Linked DNA regions of Ovis aries. The protein of the gene in region 1 interacts with the protein of each later gene in a pairwise test. Links are inferred from orthologs where the notes say so. Each region holds a gene or a part of one and is shown in the gene's direction. Other genes may lie near its edges. The genes, in order: PAK5, PSMF1, INKA1, CCNG1, TUBGCP4, ATPAF2 and UXT.

What was found.
Region 2: the proteins of PAK5 (region 1) and PSMF1 interact in binary tests that used the Homo sapiens proteins (3 or more experiments, as listed by UniProt). The two-hybrid records come from large-scale screens. The link is inferred for Ovis aries from reciprocal best matches to the Homo sapiens genes PAK5 and PSMF1.
Region 3: the proteins of PAK5 (region 1) and INKA1 interact in binary tests that used the Homo sapiens proteins (3 or more experiments, as listed by UniProt). The two-hybrid records come from large-scale screens. The link is inferred for Ovis aries from reciprocal best matches to the Homo sapiens genes PAK5 and INKA1.
Region 4: the proteins of PAK5 (region 1) and CCNG1 interact in binary tests that used the Homo sapiens proteins (3 or more experiments, as listed by UniProt). The two-hybrid records come from large-scale screens. The link is inferred for Ovis aries from reciprocal best matches to the Homo sapiens genes PAK5 and CCNG1.
Region 5: the proteins of PAK5 (region 1) and TUBGCP4 interact in a two-hybrid assay, tested with the Homo sapiens proteins (2 studies listed by BioGRID and IntAct). The two-hybrid records come from large-scale screens. The link is inferred for Ovis aries from reciprocal best matches to the Homo sapiens genes PAK5 and TUBGCP4.
Region 6: the proteins of PAK5 (region 1) and ATPAF2 interact in binary tests that used the Homo sapiens proteins (3 or more experiments, as listed by UniProt). The two-hybrid records come from large-scale screens. The link is inferred for Ovis aries from reciprocal best matches to the Homo sapiens genes PAK5 and ATPAF2.
Region 7: the proteins of PAK5 (region 1) and UXT interact in binary tests that used the Homo sapiens proteins (3 or more experiments, as listed by UniProt). The two-hybrid records come from large-scale screens. The link is inferred for Ovis aries from reciprocal best matches to the Homo sapiens genes PAK5 and UXT.

The regions. Positions count from the first base shown.
Region 1 is NC_056066.1:2,412,651-2,416,150, reverse strand, and holds part of PAK5 (serine/threonine-protein kinase PAK 5), read left to right. Parts: intron 1-850; coding exon 851-984; intron 985-3,270; coding exon 3,271-3,397; intron 3,398-3,500.
Region 2 is NC_056066.1:59,660,170-59,664,403, reverse strand, and holds the start of PSMF1 (proteasome inhibitor PI31 subunit), read left to right. Parts: upstream 1-1,434; 5' UTR 1,435-1,584; coding exon 1,585-1,713; intron 1,714-4,234. UniProt on the Homo sapiens protein: Plays an important role in control of proteasome function. Inhibits the hydrolysis of protein and peptide substrates by the 20S proteasome. Also inhibits the activation of the proteasome by the proteasome regulatory proteins PA700 and PA28.
Region 3 is NC_056072.1:50,476,862-50,480,391, reverse strand, and holds INKA1 (PAK4-inhibitor INKA1), read left to right. Parts: upstream 1-1,302; 5' UTR 1,303-1,416; coding exon 1,417-1,467; intron 1,468-2,185; coding exon 2,186-2,986; 3' UTR 2,987-3,030; downstream 3,031-3,530. Other genes in the region: UBA7 (ubiquitin-like modifier-activating enzyme 7), read right to left, coding at 3,311-3,422. UniProt on the Homo sapiens protein: Inhibitor of the serine/threonine-protein kinase PAK4. Acts by binding PAK4 in a substrate-like manner, inhibiting the protein kinase activity.
Region 4 is NC_056058.1:72,691,151-72,695,194, forward strand, and holds the start of CCNG1 (cyclin-G1), read left to right. Parts: upstream 1-1,244; 5' UTR 1,245-1,249; coding exon 1,250-1,513; intron 1,514-3,415; coding exon 3,416-3,669; intron 3,670-4,044. UniProt on the Homo sapiens protein: May play a role in growth regulation. Is associated with G2/M phase arrest in response to DNA damage. May be an intermediate by which p53 mediates its role as an inhibitor of cellular proliferation.
Region 5 is NC_056071.1:52,949,140-52,953,334, forward strand, and holds the start of TUBGCP4 (gamma-tubulin complex component 4), read left to right. Parts: upstream 1-1,395; 5' UTR 1,396-1,660; coding exon 1,661-1,738; intron 1,739-4,195. Other genes in the region: ZSCAN29 (zinc finger and SCAN domain-containing protein 29), read right to left, coding at 1-251. UniProt on the Homo sapiens protein: Component of the gamma-tubulin ring complex (gTuRC) which mediates microtubule nucleation.
Region 6 is NC_056064.1:34,270,626-34,274,746, forward strand, and holds the start of ATPAF2 (ATP synthase mitochondrial F1 complex assembly factor 2), read left to right. Parts: upstream 1-1,321; 5' UTR 1,322-1,493; coding exon 1,494-1,626; intron 1,627-4,121. Other genes in the region: GID4 (glucose-induced degradation protein 4 homolog), read right to left, coding at 713-901. UniProt on the Homo sapiens protein: Plays a role in the assembly of the F1 component of the mitochondrial ATP synthase (ATPase).
Region 7 is NC_056080.1:57,168,937-57,172,913, forward strand, and holds the start of UXT (protein UXT), read left to right. Parts: upstream 1-1,177; 5' UTR 1,178-1,244; intron 1,245-1,430; 5' UTR 1,431-1,439; coding exon 1,440-1,537; intron 1,538-2,526; coding exon 2,527-2,608; intron 2,609-2,741; coding exon 2,742-2,809; intron 2,810-3,075; coding exon 3,076-3,183; intron 3,184-3,843; exon of another isoform or gene 3,844-3,977. UniProt on the Homo sapiens protein: Involved in gene transcription regulation. Acts in concert with the corepressor URI1 to regulate androgen receptor AR-mediated transcription. Together with URI1, associates with chromatin to the NKX3-1 promoter region.

The DNA.
Region 1 (3,500 bases):
GCGAAGCCACCAGTAGCTCCGTGCATTTCTACCTCCCATAGGCATTCATTTCTTTCCCACCCTCCTGACCTCACAGACAGCACCAGGTCAGTGGGACCCAGCTTCTTCCCGATCCACAGCTCCTGATTTCTGAAACTTATTTCCAAATTGCAATGCCGGAACAGACGGGACAAATGAACTTAGATAAATAACTGTATAATTTATTATTCAATACTGATTCTGAAAGTGTCACCACAAGCAGCCCCAGGACAGGAATTCCTGGATGTTCTCTCTAGCAAGCAGACACAAGTTGACATTTTATGCTTAAATCCTAATGTTTTTACCTTCAAGACCTATCCTTTGTATTCAGCCCAAACTGTTTCAGACTCAACACAGACCTCCCAAGAAGTTAAATTGGTCTCAGGAGGCCCAAACCCTAATGACTGTTAATTTCATTCACTTATGAGACTCAGTTACTTTGCGTTGGTGACCCTTTTGCCCAGTTAACCAACAGCAGAGCATGCACAGTGGGTTTTAAGAGCAACCTGAGAAATCTGATCGCATCCCCCAGAATAGTCACCTAACCTCACTCTTGTGAATGGAGACCCTTCTATGGTTCTGCCTGTCTTTATTCTTGATTCTTCCCAAGTCTCACTGACCTGCTGTTTTCTCTGACTTTGCTAACGTCACCTCTATTCCTACCAGCAATTCCCAGCACTGCTCCTTTATTTGTAATAGACTTCTGAATCTATCTCTCCCTCCCCATCATTACTTCTCTATCATTAAACTCACAGCCCAGATGTAGTCACAAGAAAACAAAAAGCTTAATTTCACCTTCGTAAGTCAAATAGTGTCTTTCCATTTTGCCCAGGTTGTGATAATGCGGGATTATCACCATGACAACGTGGTTGACATGTACAACAGCTACCTTGTTAGTGATGAGCTCTGGGTGGTCATGGAATTCCTAGAAGGTGGTGCCTTGACAGACATCGTTACTCATACCAGGTAAGTTTCTTATTATCCAGACAAATAATTCACGATGCTTATTATTCTTCCCCAGGGTAAGACCTTAGTAACTGCTTCTATGAACTCTTCATAAGTTGTAAGCACTTTGAAGGCAGAGAAATGACTGCCCTTACTTCTGTATTCCCAGGTGCCTATTACAATATCATGTATGTATAGTTCATTCATTCAATTCACATTCTCCCTGCCCTCTAGGAGTTCACTGATACCGATTTTAAATCAGCAAGCTGCTGAGAATTGAGTTTAAGTGATAAATAATAGAATTTCCCATCCCACTGAAGATTTCTAAAACTGAATTTGATTCTTCTGAGCTGCTAGGCCATTTGCTATGTGTTGATACTACCAAAGGTATCTGGGAAAGGCAGGGGCAGGTGAAAGAGCAAAGTTTTATGTAGTTTAACAATAAACTACATAAAAGAGAGAGAGAGAGAGAGAGAGAGAGAGAGAGATCCTTCAATTCTGTTTCAAATCGCCTTGCAAGTAACGATGGCTAATTGCGCCTGTTGCCTCAGCTGCTTGCTTCTCTGATATGCCACTTGTGTTCATTTCGTCAAGTACATATTAATCACTGTTTATGTGCCAGACTCTTTCCTAAATGCTGGGGGTACAAAATAAAAAAAATTATAACACCTGTGCAGAATCAGAAAGATGTACATGAGTAGCATAGAAGATCACCTGAATATCTTTATTAGCGTCAAGAAATATTTTTGAAAAACAGCAATGTCCAAGATGGGTTTTGAGAGCTGCATAGGAGTTTACTAAGAAGGCCAGTGGGAAGAAAAGGGCATGGAAAGCAAATGAAAGAGTACGTGCTAAAACAGTGCTTCTCAAATTTTAATATGCATACAAATTACCCATGGATCTTATTAAAATGCAGATCCTGATTCAATAGTGAATAGAGTGATACTTTGCATTCGAAGGAGCCCCCAGGCAATGCTAATGCTGTTAGTTCATAGACCATGCTTGGAAAAGCAAGGTTCAAAGGAACATATATGTTAAAAAAAAAAATCATGTACATTTAGGAAACTTTAAGTTTGCTCTTCTGGTAGATAAAATGCCAAAGAATTGAAAGGATTGTCATGAAGGAGTTATATCAGATGTCACTGAAATGGCATCCAAATCATAAGTGAGCAACAATAGAGGGGAAGCAAGATAGCAAGAAAGCATTGGGAACCCATGTGAGGGCAGAGTTTCTGCTGTTTCTCCACTGTAATGAGGCAGTGTTTCAGTCACGACCCCCTACAGCTCTGAGTCAGCGGTAGACCAGCTGAAAACAAAACGATGCTAGGGAAGACACTGAGCATTTATCACCAGCATTTCAGCTGGCAGATTCCTATTAGTACAGCCAGAGGCCACAGCAGCCCTACATGGATATAGATACAGACAGATGGTGTGTGTGCGCGCGTGCGTGTGTGCGTGCAAGTGTGCCTGGTCACTCTGTAGCCCTATGGACTGTAGTCACCAGCCTCCTCTGTCCATGGAATTCTCCAGGCCAGAACACAGGAGTGGGTTGCCATGCCCTCCTCCAGGACTCTTCCCAACCCAGGGATCGAACCCAGGTTTACCCACATTGCAGGTGGATTCTTTACCATCTGAGCCACCAGGGAAGCCTGAAGAGAACTGTGAAAGTGAAAGTCACTCAGTTGTGTCCAACTCTTTGCAACCACAAGGACTATATAGCCCATGGAATTCTCCAGGCCAGAACACTGGAGTGGGTAGCCTTTCCCTTCTCCTGGGGATCTTCCCAACCCAGGGATCAAACCCAGGTCTCCTACGTTGCAGGCAGATTTTTTACCAGCTGAGCCACAAGGGAAGTCCAAGAGGAGAACCATGATCATGCCCATATCCAAGATGAGGAAAAAGAGACCCAAGGACATTAGAGGACTTCCTCAAGATCACCTAGGAACCGTTCCTGGAACTAATATAGCTCCATTCAATGTGTCCTCTCTACAAGACCCTGGCGTTGTGTCAGTACCTGGGGAATTACCTGTAAAAGTCCAAGCAAGTGCAGTTGCTCTAATGACCCAAAGACCAGCCAGTAGGGCTCCCTTTCCTTTAGTTTATACTTGGCCCCTGTCATCGTTAGGGTTAAGCCTTAGGTTCTGGGAATCAGGTCCCAAAGACTTCCTTTTCCTTCCCTGTAGGTTTTCCAGACATGGACTGGGGAGCATGGACTGGTTCACTGGAACCCAAGGGAGCTACCTCTCTTAATCATTTCAAAGATGGTCTTAACCTGACCTAGCTCCTTCAATGTGATTTCCTTTCTAGAATGAATGAAGAGCAGATAGCTACTGTCTGTCTGTCCGTTCTGAGAGCTCTCTCCTACCTTCACAACCAAGGAGTGATCCACAGGGACATAAAGAGTGACTCCATCCTGCTGACAAGCGATGGCCGGGTAAGGTTTTCAGGTTCGGTCCCTCCCCAGTTTGCTCTGTCACTTCTGTCACTGGTATTATCTTCCCAAGAGCACTTTCTCATAACTCTGACTTTCCATAAGT
Region 2 (4,234 bases), about 57 Mb from region 1:
GGTTCCTGCAGACCAATGGGAAGGACTTACTTTTCTTTTGAGTGTGATGGGAATCCCAGGAGGTTTCAAGCAGAGGAGAGATGTGATCTGGTGTGTATTTTAACAGGATCTCTAGTTGCAGAGTGCAGAACAGACTTTCAGGAGTCAGAGATGGAGTAAGGCAATTTAGTGGTTGGTGCAGACATTCAAGTGGGGGATGATGGTGGCTTGCAGGAGGGTGGTGACTGGGACCGGAAAACTAAATTTATCTGAGTAAAAACAGTAAGTGGTACAAATCAGGAAGAAGACAGTCAAATAAATGACTGACATTTGGAAGTAGATCAGCTCTGCAGTCAGCTGTTGCGTCTTCTTGGGGGAAGCAGCTTCCATTCTCCAAGTGAAAAGTGAAAGTGTTAGTCTCTCAGTTGTGTCCAACTCTTCGAGACCCCTGTGGACTGTGGCTCGCCAGGCTCCTCTGTCCATGGGATTTTTCAGGCAGGAACACTGGAGTGGGTTGCCATTCCTTTCTCCAAGGGACATTCTCAACCCAGGGATGGAACCCAGGCTTCCCGCATTGCAGGCAGATTCTTTTCCATCTGAGCTAAATTTGCAAAATGGGAATGATAATGGAACATATTTCATAAAACATTTGATAGAGTGATATGAAGTTTTTCACCCAGGATCCAGCACACAATAAATAATTAATATTCAAAGAGCCAGACTGCTAGATTGCAGTACCATCTCTACTGTTCACTCATCTTGGTCAAATACACTCTTCTGTGTGTGTTTGTTGCTGTTGTGTAGTCCCTAAATTGTGTTCTACTCTTTTGCGAACCCATGGACTGTAGCCTACCAGACACCTGTGTCCATGGGATTTCCCAGGCAAGAATACTGGAGTGGGTTACCATTTCCTTCTCCAGGGAATATTCCGGACCGAGGGATAGAACCTGCCTCTCCTGCTTGGTAGGCAAATTCTTCACCACTGAGCCACCTGGGAAGCCCCATGTGTCTGTTTACCCATTTGCCAAATGGAGCTATCAAATACCAACTTTATAGGGTTGAGTCTTGAGGATTAAATAAATTAATACAAGCAAAACATTTACAATAACGTTCCATGGAGCAAGCACTGCATTAAGTGCCGACTATTTCTATGAATATGTTTTAATCTTATTTCATAATCTCTTCTCCTACCAGCATACACCCACCCTATTTTGCAGAAGTCTGTGACTCAAAACAAAGGTAGCCTCTCTTCAACGATGCCACAACCTACGTATAGCACACCTACCACCTACAGAGAAGATGGAGATCCCAGCTTTGAAAGACCTCGCTCCCAGGGGTCCTGCCCTGCCCATGTTCTGCCTGGCGGAACCTTTAAGAGTCTTCCTTCTGTTTCCAGCCGGGCGCTCTCGTAAGGGAGCGCGGGAGTTGGAAGTTACTTCCGGTGGCCACACCTCCGCCCCTGGGTGTCTCCATTTTGGTCGCGCAGGTTGACATTAGACCACGACCTGCGGAGTAGCGGAGAAGAGTCAGGAGTATTGTGAGGGCCCTGTCGGCTCACCGCACTTTCTTCCTCCCTTCCTCCGCCCGCAGAAGCCAGGGTCGCCCATGGCTGGCTTGGAGGTACTGTTCGCGTCGGCTGCGCCGGCCATCACCTGCGCGCAGGACGCGCTTGTCTGCTTCCTGCACTGGGAGGTGGTCACGCACGGCTACTACGGCTTGGGTGCCGGCGACCAGGTACGCCACGGAGCCAGGGTGGCATGGGACCATTGTGGAGGCGGGAGGCGTCTTCTGCCCGAATCCGGAGAACAGAGGCCTGGTCCAGAGTGCCCGACCTTCCCCCTTCGCAGGTCCGGGCCCTGAGGCTCATGACACCTTTGATACCTGTAGTCTGCGGCTCAGGGAGGTGCTCTACTGTTGCATTCTAGCTGGCACAACATGATTTGAAAACCCTTGGTCAGAAACGCCCTCCAGCACCGGCTGGCGTTCTCCCAGGCTGAGATTGTGCCCTCTGGCACCGAGACGGGGATAATGAGCTCCCTTGAGCACTCCTCACCTACCCGAACCCCACCGAACTCCTTCACAAGCAGCTGGGTGGGGAGAGGGCTGTATTCAGTACCACCCTCCTACTGTACTGGAGCGTTCACCTGGATCCAAGCACCATATAGAGGGACACCAGTATAGGGGAGCGCTTGGACTCAGCTCCAATCAAGAGCAGAGGGCTCGACACCCTTCACTCTATACTGCAGGGCCCTGTGCTGCCCACTCACCGTTGTCGTCTTGAACTCAGGCTCCAGGCCAACAACCGCCTCCCCAACATGCACCCACATGCATCCTGGGTGTGAAGGCCAAGTAAACTTTCCTTCACCATAGCTGTCCCTACAGTAGCAGCCTCTCCTGCTCATTCTCAGACTCTGCCTCTTACAGCTGGGGGCCTTGTTGCAGGCCCCACAGAGCCCCAGGACTGCCGGGGCCAGCCTGCCTCACTTGATTCTTTGCTGTAGCATTCTCCCATCTTCCCTGCCCCTTCCCTGCGACTCTCCCTCGCACTGTCATGGTACACATCAGCTTCCTGTGAGCACTGACTTGGACCCCTTCCTGCACAGATCCTGTCAGCGGAGACACTTTGACAGCTTAGAGACCTCAGTCCGTGTGGATCATTGCCTGCTCTTAACCGCCACCTTTCCCCTGTCGTGTACTCCAGGCTTCCAGGTTTTAAGAAAGAACATGATTTGGTCTAAAAAAAAGATCCCTGACTGAATCTCAGAGGTGCACACTGTTTACCTTGCCACGTGTTGAGTTAATGCAAAACAAAAAGTTGCTGGCTCCAGACCTCTTGGGGGAGGCCCCAGGAGAGTGCAGATGGGGCTCTGGAAAGCATTGCCCACTGTCCATCTGTCCACCCCAGTGTTAGGTCAAGCATGTGCCCCTGGGGGATGGGTGTTTGTGTTGTACACTAGAGCATGGTGTATTTCTGCTTCTCTCTGCCCTTAAATGCTTCTGGGGCTCAGGTTGTGCTTGTCCTCCTCTCACTTCTGTGTTTACTTTCATTCAGAATAGAAGCCTTTTGGAGGAGTATCTTTCCTATTAGTTTATTCAGGAGAGGTTTTAGTTTTCCAGCATGGGGCCAGCAGACTCAGCTGACACCAGCAGTGTTTGCAGAGTTCAGAGACTGTTTGTCTGAAGCTCCACCCTTCTAGGGGTGATAAGAGAGAGAGGAAGGTCCTAAAATTGTCTACTTGATCATTTACTATGTTGACAGTTAAATAGAAAGCTAAATTGTCTCCTTTTGTCTTTGGTTCTGTATTCTCTCGTTCAGGAAAATTGTGTACATAAAACTTGATTAGAAGAACAATGCATTTTCAATCAAAAATTCAGTATGGAGTTTGGATTTCTCTCTTGAAGTCAGCACCACACCTCGTAAGAACTTTACAGCTCTGTCAGGTGGTTTAGGTGGCCAGGGAATAGAGATGGCCATAGGCTTGAGTTCGAGGATTTAGTGTTTTGTTGTAGGAATCTAAAGATTATGACAAAAGAGGAAAATGCCTGAAACGATCTTTTTGAGACACATTTTAGCCGAGGGATACTGGGATGGACTCACCTCCATTAAAGAATACTTCCAGCCCCAGGATTTTGCCTAAGGGGACAGCTATTTTTACTTTGTGAGGTGGGCATCTTTAGCCATAACACAGGCAACCAGGAGCTCTGAATGCCAAACCCAGCTCTGCACCTGACTTACCATGACCTTGGGCAAGTGTCAGCTCCCTCTTGTTGTTTAGTTGTTAAGTCATGTCCGACTCAGCTACCCCATGGACTGTAGCCTGCTGGGCCCCTCTGTCCATGGGATACCCCAGGCAAGAATACTGGAGTGGGTTGCCATAGCCCCCTCTTAGCTCTTAGATTGTTTTCATCCAAGCCAGTTAAACTACACAACTATGTACTTTGGCTACTTTCCAGTTGTAGCTCTTTGGGAGGTCTGATATTGATGTCCTGGTCTAGAAGGCAGTTGAATGCCATGTTTGATTTGATATCACCAAGGCCAGTCTCTTTTCAGTCCCACCTTTTTTCCAGTATCAGGGCAGGCACTGAGCTGGGGAACACTGGTTCTGCTGCAGTGAGAGGTATCAGCCGCGCCAGACCCCAGTAGTGTCTCTTGCTCTGGAAGCCAGATGTTACAGGGCAGTGAGCAGGCCCAGTTATATATATTCCAAGAAGAAATTCTGGTGGGTTGAATGCTGTACATGGAGAGTATAAATAT
Region 3 (3,530 bases), on another chromosome or scaffold:
CCTCTGTCCACATGTCCACAAATGGCCATTTGATTTTCTTCTCCAAGACCACTCTTTTCCAGTCTTGCTTGGTTGATTCGTACCAGTTCCATCCAATCAGTAGTTCAGCCTGGAAGTCTAGGAGTCATGCTTCTCTTTGTCTTCCCATACTCATGTATCAGCAAGGCTTGATTTTAACTCCAAAACATACCTCAAAGTATGTTTGCTCTAGACCTACCCAGATCCAGGCCCTCCCTTCCCTTGATGGATGAGGCAGGAGCCTCCACTCTTGACAGCAGAGTGGTTCTCCCAAAGCAGCGATTATCTAAACAGCAGCCAGCCCAGGTCATTACCTGCTCAAAAGCCCTCTAGCGCTCCCCACCACACCAAAAACAAAACCCTTTATTCCCTTCTAAAATGGCTAGGAGCCTGGTTTTGCTGACCTCTTCAGTCCTCTCCCCCTCCCCTCAACTACCACCATGAGAAATATCTAGGCCTTCCCTGGTATTTTCCTGTCTACTGACTTATCTAGTTTGTCTCCAGTTAGTCTGTGTCGTTGAACCTAGCCCTAGCCACCTCAGGGAACGGCTCTAATCCTTTGGTCAAAGAACTCCCTGCGGTAATCCCCTGCATTCACTCAGCCTGCCTGTAGTCCGGGATAGACAGGATGCGGGTGTTGGGAATCCCCACGAGAGGGCAGCCCTGCTTAGCTCGGCCGAGGCAAGAGACACGGGAGTGGGAGGCTGGGCCTCGGCCGGGGCTCCTCTCCGGTGCTGCAGCGAGGTTCTGCGCTCCCTGAATCCTCGGAGGGGCCGGACCCCTCCCATGACTTCCAGGGACGGTGGAGGCCAGCTCCAGGAGCGGATTCAGTGGGTCGGACCACGAGAGGGCCACAGCACTGCCGAACCCGACGATTGGGCCCGATCTACCCGCTCAAGGGCGCAGCCGCGGTACCCGTGACCTCCAGAGACCCCGGCGGGAGGGACCACAAATTTCCCCTGGGAATAAATGAGGAAACTGAGGCTGCCGCAGGGGTGCGACTTGTCCTGGGAGTCAGCTCAACGGCCCGGGACTACGGGGACTCCCGGGCCGGATCCCGCCAGGTTTCCAGCTACAGTCCCGCCCTTCCCCATAAGAGCTGCTTCTAAGGAGTGGGTAGTGGGCGTCAGGCTCGCCCACCCGGCAGGGCCCCGGGGGTGGAGCCACACCAGCCCCGCCCCAGCCCCATTGGCTGAGGCGCCAGGGGCGGGGCGGGGCCGCCAGATGTTGGGGCGGCGGCGGCGGCGGCGGAGGCAGCAAGAGCTGGGGAGAGGGAGGAGCCGCGGAGCCAGGCGGAGGGCAAGGGCGCCGCTGGCCGGCCCCCCGGGCCCTCTCCGCGCCGCTCTTGCTGGAGTTTGAAGAGGAACTGGCAGGCCTGGAGGGGGCTGCGGCACGGACATGCACAGCGCTCGGCTTGACAGTTTCCTGGGCCAGCTGCGCTGGGAACTGGTGAGGCTTGGGGGCGGGCGTGGCTCGTGAGGACTAGTGTGGGGTGCTCGGCTGCCTTCCTACCCGAACGACACTCGGATGGGGGGGAGCTGTCCCGAGTGCCCATCCAAGAGAGGATGGGGGCGGGGCGGCGTAGATGGCCCAGATGGCCCGCGTCGGGTTTCGGACGATTGGGAGCTGCGCTGGGCATCAAGTAACAGCCGCCCAGCTGGCCGTGCTGCTGGCGCAACGCAGGAAGTTGTGGGGGAGAAACTTCTTGGGCAGAACAGGGGCTTTTACGGAACGAAAAAGGTGGTGGGGCTACTACTGATGCCCCTTATTCCAGGCTGGCGTGTACCTCTTGTCTTCCTGGAAGGTGCTCTTTTCTTCTCTGAAAGAGGCTGCGGGCTTTGGGGAGCTGAATCCCTCAAGAGGCACAGGGTTCCCCCCCAGCCCTGAGCAAGACCTACTTCCCCATGCAGGCCCACAACCCTGCCTCCCGCCCTGGTGGCGGGTACCAACTTGCCCGGCTCTGCGTGCTGCAGCCTGCCGGACTGCCATCAGGTCGGCCAATGGGAGCCACACGAGCTTCGTGTGCCAGCGCCCCATGCCGACCTGGTGCCCGCTAGAGGCCTTGCTGCTGAGGCCTCCTGGGCCTTCTGTTTTGGAACTGGCCTGATCAGGCAGGGCGGAGTGACCAGCACTGCTCCTACCACTTCTGCCCTCTCTTCTTCCACAGCTGTGTGGCCGGGACACTGGCTCACCCCCAATGCCTGGTCCCCTTCCGCCACCCCCCAAACACCGCCCAGGCGTGCGGCTCAAGCACCAGCTCAGGGCCTCAGATGCGTTGGAAGAGGACTCGGTCTGTGGTGTGGAGGAAGAGGATGACGAAGTAGGGGTGACAGGAGACAGGAGTGCAGCCTTTGGGGGCCCCAGGGAGCACGGCCTGGACTGGGACTCTGGCTTCTCAGAGGTGTCGGGCAGCACATGGAGAGAGGAAGAGCTGCCCGTACCCCAGCACCCAGCAGCCTCGGCATGGCCCCCCCGGAGACAGCGCCTCTCAACCAGTGGTGTTGCCCAGCCTAGCGGAGCGCCCATGGCCCGGGTACCACCTGTCCACCGACCACGGCCCAAGTCCACCCCAGATGCCTGCCTGGAGCACTGGCGGGGGCTAGAAGCCGAGGACTGGACCACAGCCCTGCTGAGCAGGGGTCGTAGTCGCCAGCCCCTGGTGCTGGGGGACAATTGCTTTGCGGACTTGGTGCACAACTGGATGGAGCTGCCCGAGGCAGCGGGTGAGGGGGACAATGGGGGTGGGCCCCGTGCGCGTGCTCGGCCCCCCCAGTTCCTGCTGGGCCTCTCTGAGCAGCTGCGGCGCCAGCTAGCCAGGGCGCGCCGGGCAGCACTGGCAGGAAAGCGACTGTCATGCCCACCTCGCCCAGAACCCGAACTACCTGCGGATGTCTCACGCTTTGCAGCCCTCATGAGTTGCCGCAGTCGGCAGCCCATCATTTGCAATGATGTTGTCAGCTACCTCTGACCCTGCCCTCCAGCCTGGGACAATAAAGGCCTTTCTCTGGACAATCCTGGTTCTGTACCCCTCGAGGCTCCAGGAGGCAGCGCCAGCCCTGCAAGGCACAACTCAGGCAGGCGAATCAAAAGAGCCTTTTCCCTCCCCTGCAGGGGTCCTTGTCACGCCTGTGTCACACGCCATGTGTCTGCTCCATCACCCGTCCTGTCCACTGAACACCTTCCTTCAACAAGTGTTTATTGAGTGTCTGCTGTGGGCTTGGGACGCAGGGCTCGGGACGCAGGGCTCAGGATGCAGGGCCCGATGGAGCTGGGCGGTGGGGCTGCTGCCTTGTCACAGCTTGTAGTGCAAGCGTGGAAAGTTAGTGTCATACTCCTCGCCCTCATAGCCAAGTTCCAATACCAGCACCCGCTGCCCAGGCTCCTTCTTCACCAGCTCTGTCACCCTGGCGTGGGGGGAGGGGGTGGGGAGATTGGATAGGTGAGTGGTGACACAGAGTGTCCTGGCATGGGCTCCAGGGTGCTGGGGGGCCAGAAGGAGCCCAAGCTAGGAG
Region 4 (4,044 bases), on another chromosome or scaffold:
TGAGAGCAGGCCCGGGGAGGGTGGTTACCGCTGAGGAGCTGCAGTCGCGATCAAGGTGAGCTGGGATTTCGGGGTTGACTGCAGGGTGCAGCTACGGAGCAGGGTTGGGGGCGCGGGGTGGGGGTAAGGGGCCGGGGTGGAGGGTTCGTCTCGCGCCCTTTTCCTTGGTTAACTCTAGACCGAGCAACAAGTTCAGGCTAGTCCGAGCCTGGAGGGGCGGGGCCAGATTAGACCTCCCTAGGCGTCTTAATGTCAAGTTGGCGTGGTCCCAGGCACCAGCCCGGGGGCGAAAAAGTTGGTTCCATGGAGATTGTGATTCCACATCTGTCCACCTCTTCCGTCGCTCAACCCTGGAGATGCTCTGCTTCTTGCCTTTCGGTTGTTGGGGGCTGGGACTGTCCATGTATCCTGTGCCTGGGGCATAGTAGGCGTTCAGTATTGCCCTAAATTAATGAAACTCCCAGGTTCCTCTTGCAGGATGGATTAGCCTCCTGTCCCCACTGCGTGTGCTCTTAACACCTGAGTTTCCTTTCATAACATTAATAAAAGTTAACAAGTGCCTAGCACTATGCTAAACTCGTTAGTTGAATCATCTCGTTTAATCTAACAGCCATTTAAAGAAGCAGATATTGCCTCGTTTTACGGACTATAAATAAGCTTATTAATATTGTCCAAGTGTTTATTAGGCACCTATTATATGTGCTAGATACCTGTGTACCTGAAACTGAACGTGTTAGCCACTCAGTTGTGTCCGATTCTTTGCGACCCTATGGAATTCGCCAGGCAAGAATACTGGAGTGGGTAGCCATACCCTTCTCCACAGGATCTTCCCAACACAGGGATCGAACTCGTTTCTCTTGCATAGCAAGCAGATTCTTTACCTTTATTTTACATAAGTCTATGAAATGGCTAATAACCTATTAACATATTAGGAACTGAGGACTAAGAAAAATTGACTAACTTGAATAGCCAACATTGTTACTAAGCGACAGAATACATACTACCCTCTAATTTCAAAGTTTGGGCATGAAGATTAGCTTTTTTTTTTTTTGGAAAAGGCCGTGTAGGAAGTCACAATTTAGGATGGATGTAACCAACTGGTTGGGGAGGGGGAGAATAACAGATGGCCCTTGGCAATGACTGAGATTCACTAACAGCATTGAGAGAGGGGAGGCTTGTGTTATAAGGCACCTGGCAGGACAGGAAGGGCTGTTCTTTCACTCCTTTCTGGGCTTTGTTCTATATATAGATGATAGAGGTACTGACAGCAACTGACTCTCAGAAACTGCTACACCAGCTGAATGCCCTGTTGGAACAGGAGTTGAGATGTCAGCCAAAGGTCTGCGGCTTGAGACTAATTGAATCTGCACATGATAATGGCCTTAGAATGACTGCGAGACTGAGGGACTTTGAAGTAAAAGATCTTCTTAGTCTAACTCAGTTCTTTGGCTTTGACACGGAGACATTTTCTCTAGCTGTGAATTTACTGGACAGATTCCTGTCTAAAATGAAGGTATGTTTAAAGCTGCATTACCCTGAGTATTTCGTGATTTTGCTCAATGTGTTTTCGAGATGGTATTGCCAGCTTTGGGCTGGTATTTATAACTTGACCATTTTTTTTTTTGGTTTGTCTTCAGCAAGTAACCAAAACGTTGTGGTAATTCTGTGTACTATAGCATGATGAATATTCTTCCTTTTAATCAAGAGTAATGCATCAGCTATTAAACTTCTGACATTGAATAATAGTCTAATATCAAATCATTGCAAAGCCTCCCAGTAGGAGAGCTGGCTGTTTTTAAAAGTCTTGTTTGATAGTTTGGGTATTTTCATTTGTTTACTGTTGTTTTTAAAGAAATGTGTTAAAGGCAGAATGCTAGATTGTGGGTTAAAAATTAGAGGGTTTTTTTTTTTTTCCTTTCTGTTCATGCTGTCTACCACCTGGTCAATAGAGTATATTTCTTGATCTTTGTTCATATATAATAAAGTTCCAACTGGTTTAGCCTTACATTTACCTAAGTCATGCCTATGCTTGGCATTTCCAGCCTACGTTTGCATATAGTAGAGAGTATCTTCTGAAGGAGGAGATATACAGTTGTTACCCTGTATTGGCTAAGCAGGACATCTGTGTAGCTTTCAGAGTTTAATTATTAAAAATATATCTGACTTCTCTGTGTCCATGATTGTTGGTAGATAATGTGACACTTAAAATGAAACTCATGTTTTATTCAAAGTACCTAACAGAATGCAACATATAGGGAAAGAACTCAATGTTTGTTGAATGGTTCAAGAAACTTGTTCAACAGTCTAATTAAATAACTCTTTTAGACACCATGTGTAGGCACTACCTTTAATTCTAAATGTGTCATAGGTGAATGACATGCATCTGTTACTTAAGTATATTATAATCTTGGTAGGAGTAATGTTTGCACTTATAACTATCATTAGTACAAGGAATAATAAGAAAAGAATTACATTATACTTCAAAAGAAATATAAATATATTGCTGAAGCGGTTCTAAGAAGAGGAGAGCCCAAATATTGGTAAAAGCTTTTAAAAGCTTCAGTTGAGCTACAACTTAAAGTGGATAGAGGGCTTCCCTGGTGGCTCAGTGGTAAAAAATCCACCTGCCAGTGCAGGAGATTGGGGTTCAACGCCTGGTCTGGTAAGATCTCACACGTGGCCAGACAACCAAGCTCCTGTGCCAGAGCTGCTGAGCCTGTGGTCTAGACCCCAGAAGCCGCACACCCTGGAGCCCGTGCACCGCAACAAGAGAAGCCACCACAAGGGGAAGCCCACACACCACAGTGAAGAACAGGCCCCATTCTCCGCAGCTAGAGAGAGCCCGCACAGCAAGGAAGGCCCAGCACAGCCAAAATTAAGTTTTCTAAATGAACTGGATAGAATTTTGATTGTGGACATTCAGAAAATGATGGATAAATTTAAAAACTTGGTAGTGGATAGAGCTTCACAGGTAGAATGAACAGTATATGTCACAGTTTAAAAACATTTCACAAGTATTACTACAGAGAAAACAGCCTGGAAAAACACAACATTCTGAAAAGAAACTTTGTGTATAAGCTGTAAGATATTTCAATCCTCATATAAGTTTTTGACCAAGTAATTTACTGCTTATCATTCTTCCTTGATTTTAAAAAACCAAAAGAACTAAGAATTTTTACGTGCTGAAGCCAAACAGTACACTGAAACTTACTCGATTTACTCAGAAATTGGTTCCAAGTGGGTGCATATGGCTAACAGCCTGCAGTTGAGGCATCAGTGAATCTTGCTAAGTCCTTTGCCACTGAGAAATTCACCTCACAAATACATTTTTCAAAGTGATGGGTCTGAGTTTGATTATACTTTGTTTTTTTTTTTTAAATGAAATAAAGTAGAGATGGACTTATTGTCTTTTTAGGTACAGCCCAAGCACCTTGGGTGTGTTGGACTAAGCTGCTTCTATTTGGCTGTAAAATCAACAGAAGAGGAAAGGAATGTCCCACTGGCAACTGACTTGATCCGAATAAGCCAGTACAGGTTCACGGTTTCAGACTTGATGAGAATGGAGAAGATTGTATTGGAGAAGGTGTGTTGGAAAGTCAGAGCTACTACTGCCTTTCAGTTTCTACAGCTCTATTATTCACTCCTTCAAGAGAACGTGCCACATGAAAGGTATGTGAGCTTTGTTTTCAACAAAGGGATGTAGAAACCAGAATATTGTCTGGATGTTACATAAAATCAGTATGTTGGGAGAATTTCAATCAAGTAAAATGACAGCTAAGCCCCTTGAGTTTCACTTTACTCTCCAGCAAAAGTGAGGAGACATTCAGTCAAAAGTAGCATCTTGGAGTCATTGAATTCTTAAGATGGTAAATTTTTTAACATTACATTTTCCATTTATAGGCTAGTTAACTTACAGAACCTAATAGGCAAGCATCTAACACGAATTTATGGAAAAAGAGACTTTCAATTCAAAAACAGATTTATTAAAATGAAAAGAAACCTTGGTAGTTGTAGAATAAATTTTTCTTTTTTGGCGCAAATTAT
Region 5 (4,195 bases), on another chromosome or scaffold:
CTTTCTGGACATTGCTTTTGTACCCAGTTCTGGATCTCCCCAGGTAGGACGGTCAGGAACTGCTCTAGCACCAACAATTCTACAATCTGCTCCTTGGTGCGCACCTCTGGCCTTAGCCAACGACAGCAGAGTTCCCAGAGTTGGCTGAAAGCCTCCCGGGGCCCAGCCACCTCCTGATAATGAAACTTCCTGAAGCGCTGTCGGAAGGCCTCAGAGTTAGAGCCATTCCCTCTCAGGGTGGGTTTGGCCATGGTTCACAGCAGGAAGCAGCTTCCCTTCACTTAAAGGTCTAGGTTCCAGGGCTTAGGCCCATCTTCCCATGTCCTTGGGGAATCACCTGCAGATGAGTCTGTCTCTGTAAGCAGTTTCCTCCTAGGGCAGAGAGAGATGGCACTATCAGAAGGAATGTATGTCTAGGGTCTTGCCAGAGCTGGCCTGACTGCCCATATGCTCCAAGTGGTCATCTGAGGTAGCACCAGCTTCAGGTCAGGAAGTCAAAACAGCCTGAAGGTGAGAGGCCATTCAAAGGCTGCATCTCTGGCCGACATCCAGGGCAGCCCGGAGAAGCAGCAAAGGATAAAAGTACTGTCTACTCTTCCGCCGCCCCCAAATCTGACCCATTGAGCTCCCCTAACCAGTGAGTTCGAACCATTTGGGAGACCTGGAGCTCGGAAGGTTCTAAAGGCAGGTCACCATTCTGCTGAAGGTAACAAAGCCTCTGTCCAGCGGGTAGCAAGCTGCTCTCCACTGTCCTTCCCCAGGCCCTCACAGCCCGCCCCGCTCCCTGAGACTCCACCACTACCAATTCCCACCCCAAACAAAAATCAAGTACTAAATACTGGGTCTCTGTTTTCCCTCACAGCAGAAGTAAGCGCTCAGTAAACATCCGGGAACTACTGACGGGAAACCTCGCGCATTGAGAGAAGTTGATTTTGGCTCCTGAAGCGAGGTCCGAGTGGGTTTGGGGAGAGTCACACTGAGTTGGTGGAGAGAGGAATTCCGAAGGGGCAGTAGTCATGGGTCTCCTGAGGACGAGTTCGGGTGGTGGGCAGGCGCTCCGAGGGCTGCGAGGTTCGCGAGCGCGGAGCTCAGGTCTAGGAGCGGCGGGTGCGGGGTTCCGGCCTCTTTGTTTTCGTTCCCTCCGGCCAGGTCACTCGGAGCCGTCATGAATCCCTCCGGAGGCCTCCGACCGGACTAAGGCGCCCTGAGAGCACCCTGTGGCCCACACCTGAGAGCTTCTCCCACTCAGGCTATCGCTCAACCCGCTCGCATCTCTGCCCACCGGCCAGCCTCACCCAGTCAGGGTCTGGCTCCAGCCCGGGCTCGCCAGCCTCCCAGTCCAGCTTCCAAACCGGAAGTCCGAGTGGGTGCCTCGGGAGCCAAAGGCGCATGCGCAAGGGCAGCTCCCGCGACTCTTGCGGGGCACCGGCTGCCGCCGGCGAGGGGGCCCAGCCGAGCGCGGCGCACTTCCGGGACGCGGCGCGCCGGCTGCTTTCCGTCCGGTCTCCCCTGCAGTTGTCTCGGCGGGTAAAGTCAGGAGGAACAGTGCGTCCCGGAGACCTGTGCGCGCATAGAGAAGGGAGCGCTCGCCTCCTTGGTCGCCAGCTGAGGCCCTGGAGGAGGGCGCGACGGATATAGGGACTCGAGGTCCGCCGTGGGAATGATCCACGAACTGCTCTTGGCTCTGAGCGGGTACCCAGGGTCCATTTTCACCTGGAACAAGCGGAGTGGCCTCCAGGTACTATCCGGCTCGGAGCGCGGGAACTGGCGAGCTCGGAATGGGTGGACCCGAGCCAGCGCTTGGGAGGAGGAGTCTGAGGGAGCAAGAAGGCGGGGCTGGCAAGGACCAAGGCGTGGGGGGCGTATCCCTGGACGGGTAACCTGAGGGCTGTGCCCTAGGGGCTTACGGATGGTTTAGACACCTGGAGAGGGTTGGGCCTAGGCGGAAAGCGAAGGGTGGATCCCTATTGGTTCTGCCTTAGGGGAGGAGGGAATCCCGGACCAGGCCTAAGGTTGAAAGTGTCTGGGCGAGAGTTGCTAGAGAACTAGATGTAAAACTGAGAGAGGCCCTTTCTCCCATCTTCATGCTTGCACAACGTTTTAAACTGAGTTTTGAAAGCTAGACCAAATACACAGTGCCTAATATACAAACAGTTCAGTTCAGTCGCTCAGTCATGTCCGACTCTTTGCGACCCCATGAATCGCAGCACGCCAGGCCTCCCTGTTCATCACCATCTCCCGGAATTCACTCAGACTCACGTCCATCGAGTCCGTGATACCATCCAGCCATCACATCCTCGGTCGTCCCCTTCTCCTCCTGCCCCCAATCCCTCCCAGCATCAGAGTCTTTTCCAATGAGTCAACTCTTCGCATGAGGTGGCCAAAGTACTGGAGTTTCAGCTTTAGCATCATTCCTTCCAAAGAAATCCCAGGGTTGATCTCCTTCAGAATGGACTGGTTGGATCTCCTTGCAGTCCAAGGGACTCTCAAGAGTCTTCTCCAACACCACAGTTCAAAAGCATCAATTCTTCGGCGCTCAGCCTTCTTCACAGTCCAACTCTCACATCCATACATGACCACAGGAAAAACCATAGCCTTGACTAGACGGACCTTAGTCAGCAAAGTAATGTCTCTGCTTTTGAATATACTATCTAGGTTGCTCATAACTTTTCTTCCAAGGAGTAAGTATCTTTTAATTTCATGGCTGCAGTCACCATCCGCAGTGATTTTGGAGCCCCAAAAAAATAAAGTCTGACACTGTTTCCACTGTTTCCCCATCTATTTCCCATGAAGTGATGGGACCAGATGCCATGATCTTCGTTTTCTGAATGTTGAGCTTTAAGCCAACTTTTTCACTCTCCTCTTTCACTTTCATCAAGAGGCTTTTTAGCTCCTCTTCACTTTCTGCCGTAAGAGTGGTGTCATCTGCATATCGGAAGTTATTGATATTTCTCCTGGCAATCTTGATTCCAGCTTGTGTTTCTTCCAGCCCAGCGTTTCTCATGATGTACTCTGCATATAACTTAAATAAGCAGGGTGACAATATACAGCCTTGACATATTACTTTTCCTATTTGGAACCAGTCTGTTGTTCCATGTCCAGTTCTAACTGTTGCTTCCTGACCTGCATACGGATTTCTCAGGAGGCAGGTCAGGTGGTCTGGTATTCCCATCTCTTTCAGAATTTTCCACAGTTTATTGTGATCCACACAATCAAAGGCTTTGGCATAGTCAATAAAGCAGAAATAGATGTTTTTTTCTGGAACTCTCTTGCTTTTTCCATGATCCAGCGGATGTTGGCAATTTGATCTCTGGTTCCTCTGCCTTTTCTAAAACCAGCTTGAACATCAGGGAGTTCGCGGTGCACGTATTGCTGAAGCCTGGCTTGGAGAATTTTGAGCATTACTTTACTAGCATGTGAGATGAGTGCAATTGTGCGGTAGTTTGAGCATTCTTTGCATTACCTTTCTTTGGAATAGGAATGAAAACTGACCTTTTCCAGTCCTATGGCCACTGCTGAGTTTTCCAAATTTGCTGGCATATTGAGTGCAGCACTTTCACAGCATCATCTTTCAGGATTTGAAACAGCTCAACTGGAATGCCATCACCTCCACTAGCTTTGTTTGCAGTGATGCTTTCTAAGGCCCACTTGACTTCACATTCCAAGATGTCTGGCTCTAGATTAGTGATCACATCATCATGATTATCTGGGTCGTGAAGATCTTTTTGTATAGTTCTTCCGTGTATTCTTGCCACCTCTTCTTAATATCTTCTGCTTCTGTTAGGTCCATATCATTTCTGTCCTTTATCGAGCCCATCTTTGCATGAAATGTTCCCTTGGTATCTCTAATTTTCTTGAAGAGATTTCTAGTCTTTCCCATTCTATTGTTTTCCTCTATTTCTTTGCATTGATCGCTGCAGAAGGCTTTCTTGCCTCTCCTTGCTATTCTTTGGAACTCTGCATTCAGATGCTTATATCTTTCCTTTTCTCCTTTGCTTTTCGCCTCTCTTCTTTTCACAGCTATTTGTAAGGCCTCCCTAGACAGTCATTTTGCTTTTTTGCATTTCTTTTCCATGGGGATGGTCTTGATCCCTGTCTCCTGTACAATGTCACGAACCTCATTCCATAGTTCATCAGGCACTCTATCAGATCTAGGCCCTTAAATCTATTTCTCACTTCCACTGTATAACCTTAA
Region 6 (4,121 bases), on another chromosome or scaffold:
AGAGACTACAAAGGAAGCCCTGACATGTGGATCAAAGTTAAAAATACAGTAAGAGGGTCCCCTAGAGCCAGGAAGGAGGAGAACAGAGAGATGGGGAGGTCTGGGCAGACAGATGGACAGAACAGGAGTGGACTGGAAGTGGAAAGAGGGTGGGGAGTAGGGAGTGTCAAGAGTCTGAGCCAGGAAGAGACTATGGGTTGGGGGCTAGGAGATCAGCTTCTAACAGACTGTGAGGAGCCCACTTAGGATGTGAGTGCCCAGGCTAAGGAATGGGCCAGCAGTCCAGGTGGGATGGGGGCCCTCAGGTCCCGGGGCTGATGGAGAGAGGAGGCGGATGAAGCTCTGCCGGGGAGGAAACCCCCGGAGAAGGAGGCGGGTCCCAGGGCCTGGGGTTCATGGGACCGAGGAAAACGTGGGAGGCAGCAGGCACGTCTAGGGCCTGGGAGCGTCCAGAGTCAGAGGGAATCCCTGGAGAGTTTCCCGGACGGGGTCCGAGAGGGACTGAAAGAAAGACTGTTGCCGGGGCGACAGGCCACGGGGAGGCAGGGCCGGATCTGAGGCGGCCGGTCCCCGGCTCGGGCCCGCAGGGTTGGGGTGCGCCGGAGGGCCCCCGGCAGGCCCGGGCAGCAGGCCCGTCCGTGGCCGCGGGCCCCAGGGGGCGGCGGCGTGGCCCGGTCCGTGGACGTCTCGAGAGGCCGGGCCGCCGGCTCACCTGCAGCACTACCTCCACGTCGTACGAGTTCCCCTTGCTCTTCTGGTGGCCGCGGAACTTGGAGCCGCTGTAGAGCAGGCTGGTGGCCACGCCGGGCTGCTGCGTGTTGATAGGCGGCGGCGGGATGAGCGAGGCGGCGGAGGCGGCCGAGGCACCGGCCGGCGGGGGACACTCGGTGCGGACCGGCATCGCGGGGTCCCCCGGAGCCAGGGCTGGGGGAGGGGGAGGAACCGCCGCCGCCGCGCGGAAGCCGAGGGCAGACGGAGGAGAAGCCGGCGCGCGCGTAGGGCGGGAGGGGTCCACCCGCCGGCCGCAAGCAGATCGAGCGCTCCGGCCACCACCGGGACCCCGGGACCTGCGAGCAGGGCCTCCGGGTCCTGAGCGAACCCCCTCCCCGCCTGCGCTCGCACACACACCCCTTCCGATTGGCTCGGGCGCGCTGAGGGGCGGGATCAGGCTGGCTCGGCGATTCCGCCCATTGGCGGGCGGGGAAAGCACGTGGCGGGAGCCGAGGCCCTCTGGTACTTGTAGTCTTTTTCCCGAGGCGCGGCGCGGGGGCGGGGCCGGGGCGTTTGTGATGCTGATTGGCTGCGGCGTGCGCTGAGGCGCGCGGCGGCGGCGCGCTACGAGTGTCGTGCGCAACATGGCGGCGCCCCAAAAGGGAGAGGGTGCCGGCGACTGGTGAGGAGGTTTGTGGAGTTCGAGCACACGGCGTGTGGTCCCTCCGCTCCTTTTCCCCGAGCTCTGGTTTCGAGCGGTCGTTCTCTGAGGCCCCCGCGCGATGTGGAGGAGCTGCCTTCGGCTGCGGGATGGGGGGCGTCGCCTCCTGAACCGGCCCCGAAGTGGCCTCACCGCCTCCGAGGGGCTGGGGCGAAAGCCCCCTATCCCCTTCCGGGCCTACGTGCCCCCGGCAGGTGAGAGAGGCCAGGGCGGAGCAGGCTGAGGGGTCGGCCATGCAGGGTCACACGGTGGGAGGGAAGTTCCCCGCGAGGGCAGGGATCGCTCCAGGGCACACGCGCGTCGTTTCCTTTTGGCAGGTGCGGTTTTTCTCTCTTTCACTGGGGAAGCAGAGGTCATCCTTATTTTCAGGCGGGGAAATTCGACTTCTGGGTCGGGATTGCGCTAGAGGCGCGAAGCAGACTCAGAGGTTTGCGGGGCAAAGGCCAGTCTGCTAGGCTGCTTTCTGTGTCCCCGCGACCGGCACTGAAGGGGCCTGAAGCTCGGGCTTTAAGTCTTCCATCCCGGCCGCTTGCTCCACAGCTGTCCTGGCCCTGCCTCCTGCTGCCCTCCCAGAACACCTGCCACCTCTTCTAAGGAGTTGACACCCCGTGCCCCCTTCCTGCACTTCCGACTCGGATGAGGCTTTCTGTAGCGGATCTTTCTTACTCCTAGGCAAAGATTTTGGGATAAGAGTGGGACTGACTTTAAGTGAGTGAAGACAGTAACGCTTTCTTTCCTGCCAGTTAGTACTGTGCTGAAGGTGGGGGTGAGGAGAAGGTCACTGCGGTGTTGGAGCTGTTCCGAGGTCGCCCGTGTGGCCTCCAGTCCCCTACCAGCTGTCCCAGCCATCAGCTGCATAGAGAAGAAAGGTCTTCAGAGAGCCTGCCTGTCCAGCTGAGGAGTACACCGGTGAAGTCAAAGCTGGGGGTCTCTGCTTACAAGTTGTCTTGTCTGCACAAGTGGTTTAGCGTCTCATTGTCTGCCTCCTCTAAAGAGACAGCTTGTGCTGGATTGAGGGAGATGCTGTAGATAGGGAGGCCAGCCTGCCACCTGTTTTTGTAAATAGTTTTCCAGGAACCCAGGCCCGCTCATTCACTGACACACACCTAAGGCTGTTTTCACTACAGTGCAGAGTTGGCTGGTTGTGCCAGACACTGGATGGCCTGCAAAGCTTAAAACACTTTGGCTTTTTACAGAAAAAGTTTGCCAGCAGTGCTGTGGATGCTAGAGCGGTTTTGGGGAAAAGTGTTTAGTCATCTGGCCCGTTTATAGTAATTGCTGTGGTAGATACACTTGCCCTGAAGAATTTTAAAACAGCCTTACTGAGATGATGCATTTAGAATTCACTCACTTAGATTGTACAGTTTAATGGTCCCTAATGGCTCAGATGGTAAAGAATCCACCCTTGTTGCGGGAGACCTGGGTTCAATCCCTGGGTTGGGAAGATCCCCTGGAGGAAGGGCATGGCTACCCACTCCAGTATTCTTGCCTGGAGAATCCCTGTGGACAGAGGAGCCTGGCGGGTTACAGTCCATGGGGTTGCAGAGTCGGACATACTGAGCGACTAAGCACAGTATACTCAGAGTTCTGCTGCCATCAGTTCTGGAACCTTCTTATGACACCAAAGGATCCCTGTACCCATTAGCTGCCACTCTGAGTATCCCCCTGCCCCACCCCATCCCTCCAGCCCTAGACAACCACTACTTCACTCTCTATGAAGTCAAGTCGCTCAGCCGTGTCCGACTCTTTGCGACCCTGTGGACGGTCGCCTACCAGGCTCCTCCCTCCATGGGATTCTCCAGGCAAGAGTACTGGAGTGGGTTGCCATTTCCTTCTCCAGGGGGTCTTCCTGACCCAGGGATTGAACCGGGGTCTCCCGCATTGCAGGCAGATGCTTTAACCTGTGAGCCACCAGAGATCTGTATCTATAGATTTCCCTATTTTGGACATTTCATATAAATGGAATGTGGTCTTTTTCTCCATTTAGCGTATATCCAAGGTTCGTCCTGGCTTCCCTGGTGGCTCAGACGGTAAAGCATCTGCCTACAATGCAGGAGACCCTGGTTCGATCTCTGGGTCCGGAAGATCCTCTGGAGAAGGAAATGGCAACCCACTCCAGTACTCTTGCCTGGAAAATCCCATGGACGGAGGAGCCTGGTAGGCTACAGTCTACGGGGTTGCAAAGAGTCGGACACGACTGAGCACCTTCACTTTCACTTTCACAAGGTTTGTCCTAGAGTTAGCGCATGTCAGTACTTCATTCTTTTTCATAACTGGTAATATTCAGTTTTGGGGACACACCATGTCTTATTTACCCAGTCAGTCATTGATGAACATTTGGGTGGTTTTCATCATTTGACTGTTCTGAATGCCTTTGTAAACACTTGAATACAGGTTTTTGTGTGAGAATGTGTTTTCGTTTCTCATAGGAGGTACCTAAAAATAAATAGGACGTCCCCAGTGGCTCAGGGTTAAAGAATACACCTGCAAGGCAGGAGACCCGGCTTTGATTCGTGGGTCAGGAAGAGCCCTTGGAGAAGGGAATGGCAACCCACTCCAGTATTCTTGGCTAGAGAATTCCATGGACAGAAAAGCCTGGTGGACTGCAGTCCATAGGGTCACAAAGAGTTGGACACAACTAAAGCAATTTAGCACACACGCAAGAGCAGACTTGCTGGATCAAACGGTA
Region 7 (3,977 bases), on another chromosome or scaffold:
AACATAGGAACTCTTTCTAATGACAAGATAACCTATCTTGGGCAGAGGACTTCAGCAACCCTCTATTTGACGCCCCAATTAAATGACGTGATCAGCCATGAAATTAAAAGATGCTTTGCTTACTCCTTGGAGGGAAAGTTATGACCAACCTAGATAGCACATTCAAAAGCAGAGACATTACTCTGCCAACAAAGGTCCGTCTAGTCAAGGCTATGGTTTTTCCAGCGGTCATGTATGGATGTGAGAGTTGGACTGTGAGGAAAGCTGAGTGCAGAAGAATTGATGCTTTTGAACTGTGGTGTTGGAGAAGACTCTTGAGAGTCCCTTGGACTGCAAGGAGATTCAACTAGTCCATTAAAGGAGATCAGCCCTGGGTGTTCTTTGAAAGGACTGATGCTAAAGCTGAAACTCCAATACTTTGGCCACCTCATGAGAAGAGTTGACTCATTGGAAAAGACTCTGATGCTGGGAGGGATTGAAGGCAGGAGAAGAAGGGGACGACAGAGGATGAGATGTCTGGATGGCATCACCGACTCGATGGACATGAGTTTGAGTGAACTCCGGGAGTTGGTGATGGACAGGGAGACCTGGCGTACTGCAGTTCATGGGGTCACAGAGTCGGACACAACTGAGTGACTGAACTGAACTGAACTGATTAGACATAGTGCGTTATCAACCTCTGCTTGAACTCCAGTCATGGACTGCGGGCTACAGAGCTGGAGTCGTCAAAGGTGCATATCAGAAAATTTGTCTCCTTTTCAAAACTTATGTTTAATGCTGACATTTATTTCCATTATTGAAAGTCAAACCCAAGCTTCCCTTGTGAAAACTCAAAATCCAGGGCGATGCAAGGATATACTTTCCTTTTTACAGACCACATTCATAATCTTTTCTTGCCCGGCTGCTTCTGAAGCTCTGACTTTTAAACACCAAAAGCTGTACTCGCTCTGTGTGTACCGCCACCTCCGGCACCCGCCAAATCCCATTAAACCCCACCCCCAGCAACAGTGCACTATCCCCATAGGCTTGTTGCGCAGTCCAGGTTCCCACGCTCTTCAGCCTTTCTTAATCAGCGGATTTCTTAAAGCCCCGCCCTTTCCTTCTCTCCGGCGTTTTTTTCCGTTCAGGACTGCCTCACCCACCCTGGTTATTTGGTTGGCCAGCGCCCCCGCCGTACGTCATTTACCCGCGCCACCCGGAAGCCACGGTTCTTACTAACACTTCTTTTTGCCGGCGGCTTTCAGGTAACGGCAGCGCTTGGGTGTCCCTGTGTGATGGGGTCCCAGAGCTGGGAGGGGCGGAAGGCTGAACCCTCGGCATAAGCCGGACGACTCAACTCCCAACACTGAAAAGGTGCAGTTGCACTGTGCTTGAGACCAAACTGAGACCAGTGGTCTTCAACGTGGTCTTTCTCCCTCCCCATTCCTCAGGAGCCCATCATGGCGACGCCCCCTAAACGGCGGGCGGTGGAGGCCACGGCGGAGAAAGTGCTGCGCTACGAGGCTTTCATCTCTGACGTGCTGCAGCGGGACTTGCAGTAAGTGACAGAACGGGGGGCGGAGCTATTGGAGCGGTCCACGTGGTGAGCGGGGCGTTCGAAGTCAGGGCCTGGCCTTCTGATTGGTGGGTGAGGCGTTCAGAGCCCGGCCCCGTGCGCCATTCGAGGAGGAAGGAGGGGCGATATCCGGGGTGCAGCGTCGGGTGAGGAGGGAGACTTGGTGATTTAATGGTGCCTGTGTACGCGCATGCGCGGCTTCCGATGACCTTAAAGGGTTAAGAATTAGAGTTCTGAAGCTGGAGTTTTCAGGTTCGAATCCTGGCTTGACCATTTTGCTTTCCGTGTGAATACATACTTCGCCTCCACTTGCTGTGCCTCAGTTTCCTCATCTGTGAAATGGGGAAGTTAATGCAGCCTTCCCCACGGCAGTGGGTTTGTGTTTTCAGTGTATTCAGTCCTTGTAAAGGGTTTAACTTGGATACTAGAGGCTCAATGAGTATAAAAAATTATTATTACTATCATTATTAATCAGAGCAGGAAGGAGAGTGTTCAGGTCTAGGATTATGAGCTCCTAAAAGAGATGGAGGATTTTTTTCTAGGGTGAGAATGTCATATTCTGATTGGAGGGAGGCATTGGGAGTAGAGTGTAATAATACTTGTAAATAAGAGCTAACTCATATAGAGAAATTTGTTTGGAGGGCACTATTCTAAATGCCTTATAGTAAATACTCATTTAATCCTCCTAATGACTCTATGAAGTAATACTCCTCATTCCTATTTTTAAAATGGGGAAATTGAGTTCCAAAGAGATTACTCACTTGCCAAAGTCACACAGCTAGTAAAATGGAAAGCCTGGATTCAAACCGAAGCAATCTGACCCAGAGGCCAAACCTTGACTTCTGCACTAAAATTCCTGTTTAGACTCTGGTGACAGGAGAGTCTCAGGGGTTCATGGTGTGAGATATTCCAAGAGGGACAGGGTTTCCTCTTGGTCACCATTTTACTCTTGTCCTGTCATGTCCCATCAGAAAGGTCCTGGACCATCGCGACAAGGTATATGAGCAGCTGGCCAAATACCTTCAACTGAGAAATGTCATTGAGCGACTCCAGGTAAAGATGCCAGGGTTAGGTAGTCTTTTTGTGGGCAAAGGAGGGGGAAGAGAGGAGATACCCAAGACCAAAACCTGTCACCTGACCTAAAAGTTGACCACTGATCCCTACCTCTTTTTCCCTGGCCCCACAGGAAGCTAATCACTCGGAGTTATATATGCAAGTGGATTTGGGCTGTAACTTCTTCGTTGACACAGTGGTGTGAGTATCTACCTGCCCCTCTGAGCCCACAGGGTTCAGCTTCCCTTTTCCTTCATTCAGCAAATACTTTTGTTAGTATTTGCTATGAACCAGACACTGCTCGGTGCTGAAGATGTGACAGTAAATAAAATAGGACAAATTATCTGCCCACCCTGACCTTCAGTTTGGGGAAGGTGGAGGATGGGGAGTAAAATAAATATTAAACTGTGTAGTATGCTAAACAGTGACAAGGACTTCTCCACTTCTGATCACCACTGTTTCCTTAGCCCAGACACTTCACGGATCTATGTGGCCCTTGGATATGGTTTTTTCCTGGAGTTGACACTGGCAGAAGCTCTCAAGTTCATTGATCGTAAGAGCAATCTCCTCACAGAGTAAGTCCATTGCATGAGGATACTGTCTAAAACAACACCATTTGTAACATCCTTCTTCCCCCTTTCACCCTGGCTACCTGGGATGGTACCTAGGAACCACTTTCCCCTCTCTCTAGGGGAGAGAACAGTGGGGATGCAAAGCTTAGCCCCAGGTGTAGCACATAATAAGTACTCAATAAATGGTCTCTGTATTGTTCACTCACACAAAAACTTATTGGGCATTTGCTGTATGCCAGGCTCTGTGCTTGGTGTTGGGGAGGCAGTATGAACAAGACAGAAGAATTCCTTGAAAGCTTACATTCTACAAGGGCTATAACTATTACACATCAGCACAGTTTTGACCAGATCCTGGAGGTCTCAGCCTGTAAATCAGTAACAGTAAAACAAGTTACCTCTGACTTCACCTTCTGCTAATTTTCCTGCTCATTCACTGTGCTCTCATCACATTAACCTTCACAGGCTTCTTTAAATGCCCACAAAGTGATCCCACCTCAGCACAACTGCAGTAACTGTTCTCTGTCTGCCTACAGCACTTTCCCCCCGATATATGCATGGCTTCCTTTTTCCTTATTCACTTGAAGTCTTGCTTAAATGTCACTTCCTATAACCTAACTTGAAAATTGCAACCCTTGCGCTCCTGATTCCCCTCCCTTGTTCTACTTTTTCTTTTTTTCTGTAGCACTTATGACCTCCTAATGTTTACTGTGTGATTTACTTTTTTATAATGTTCATTGCCTGCTCCCATTAGGATATAAGCTTTGCAAAGGGAGAGATTTTGTCTACGTCTCAAGTCA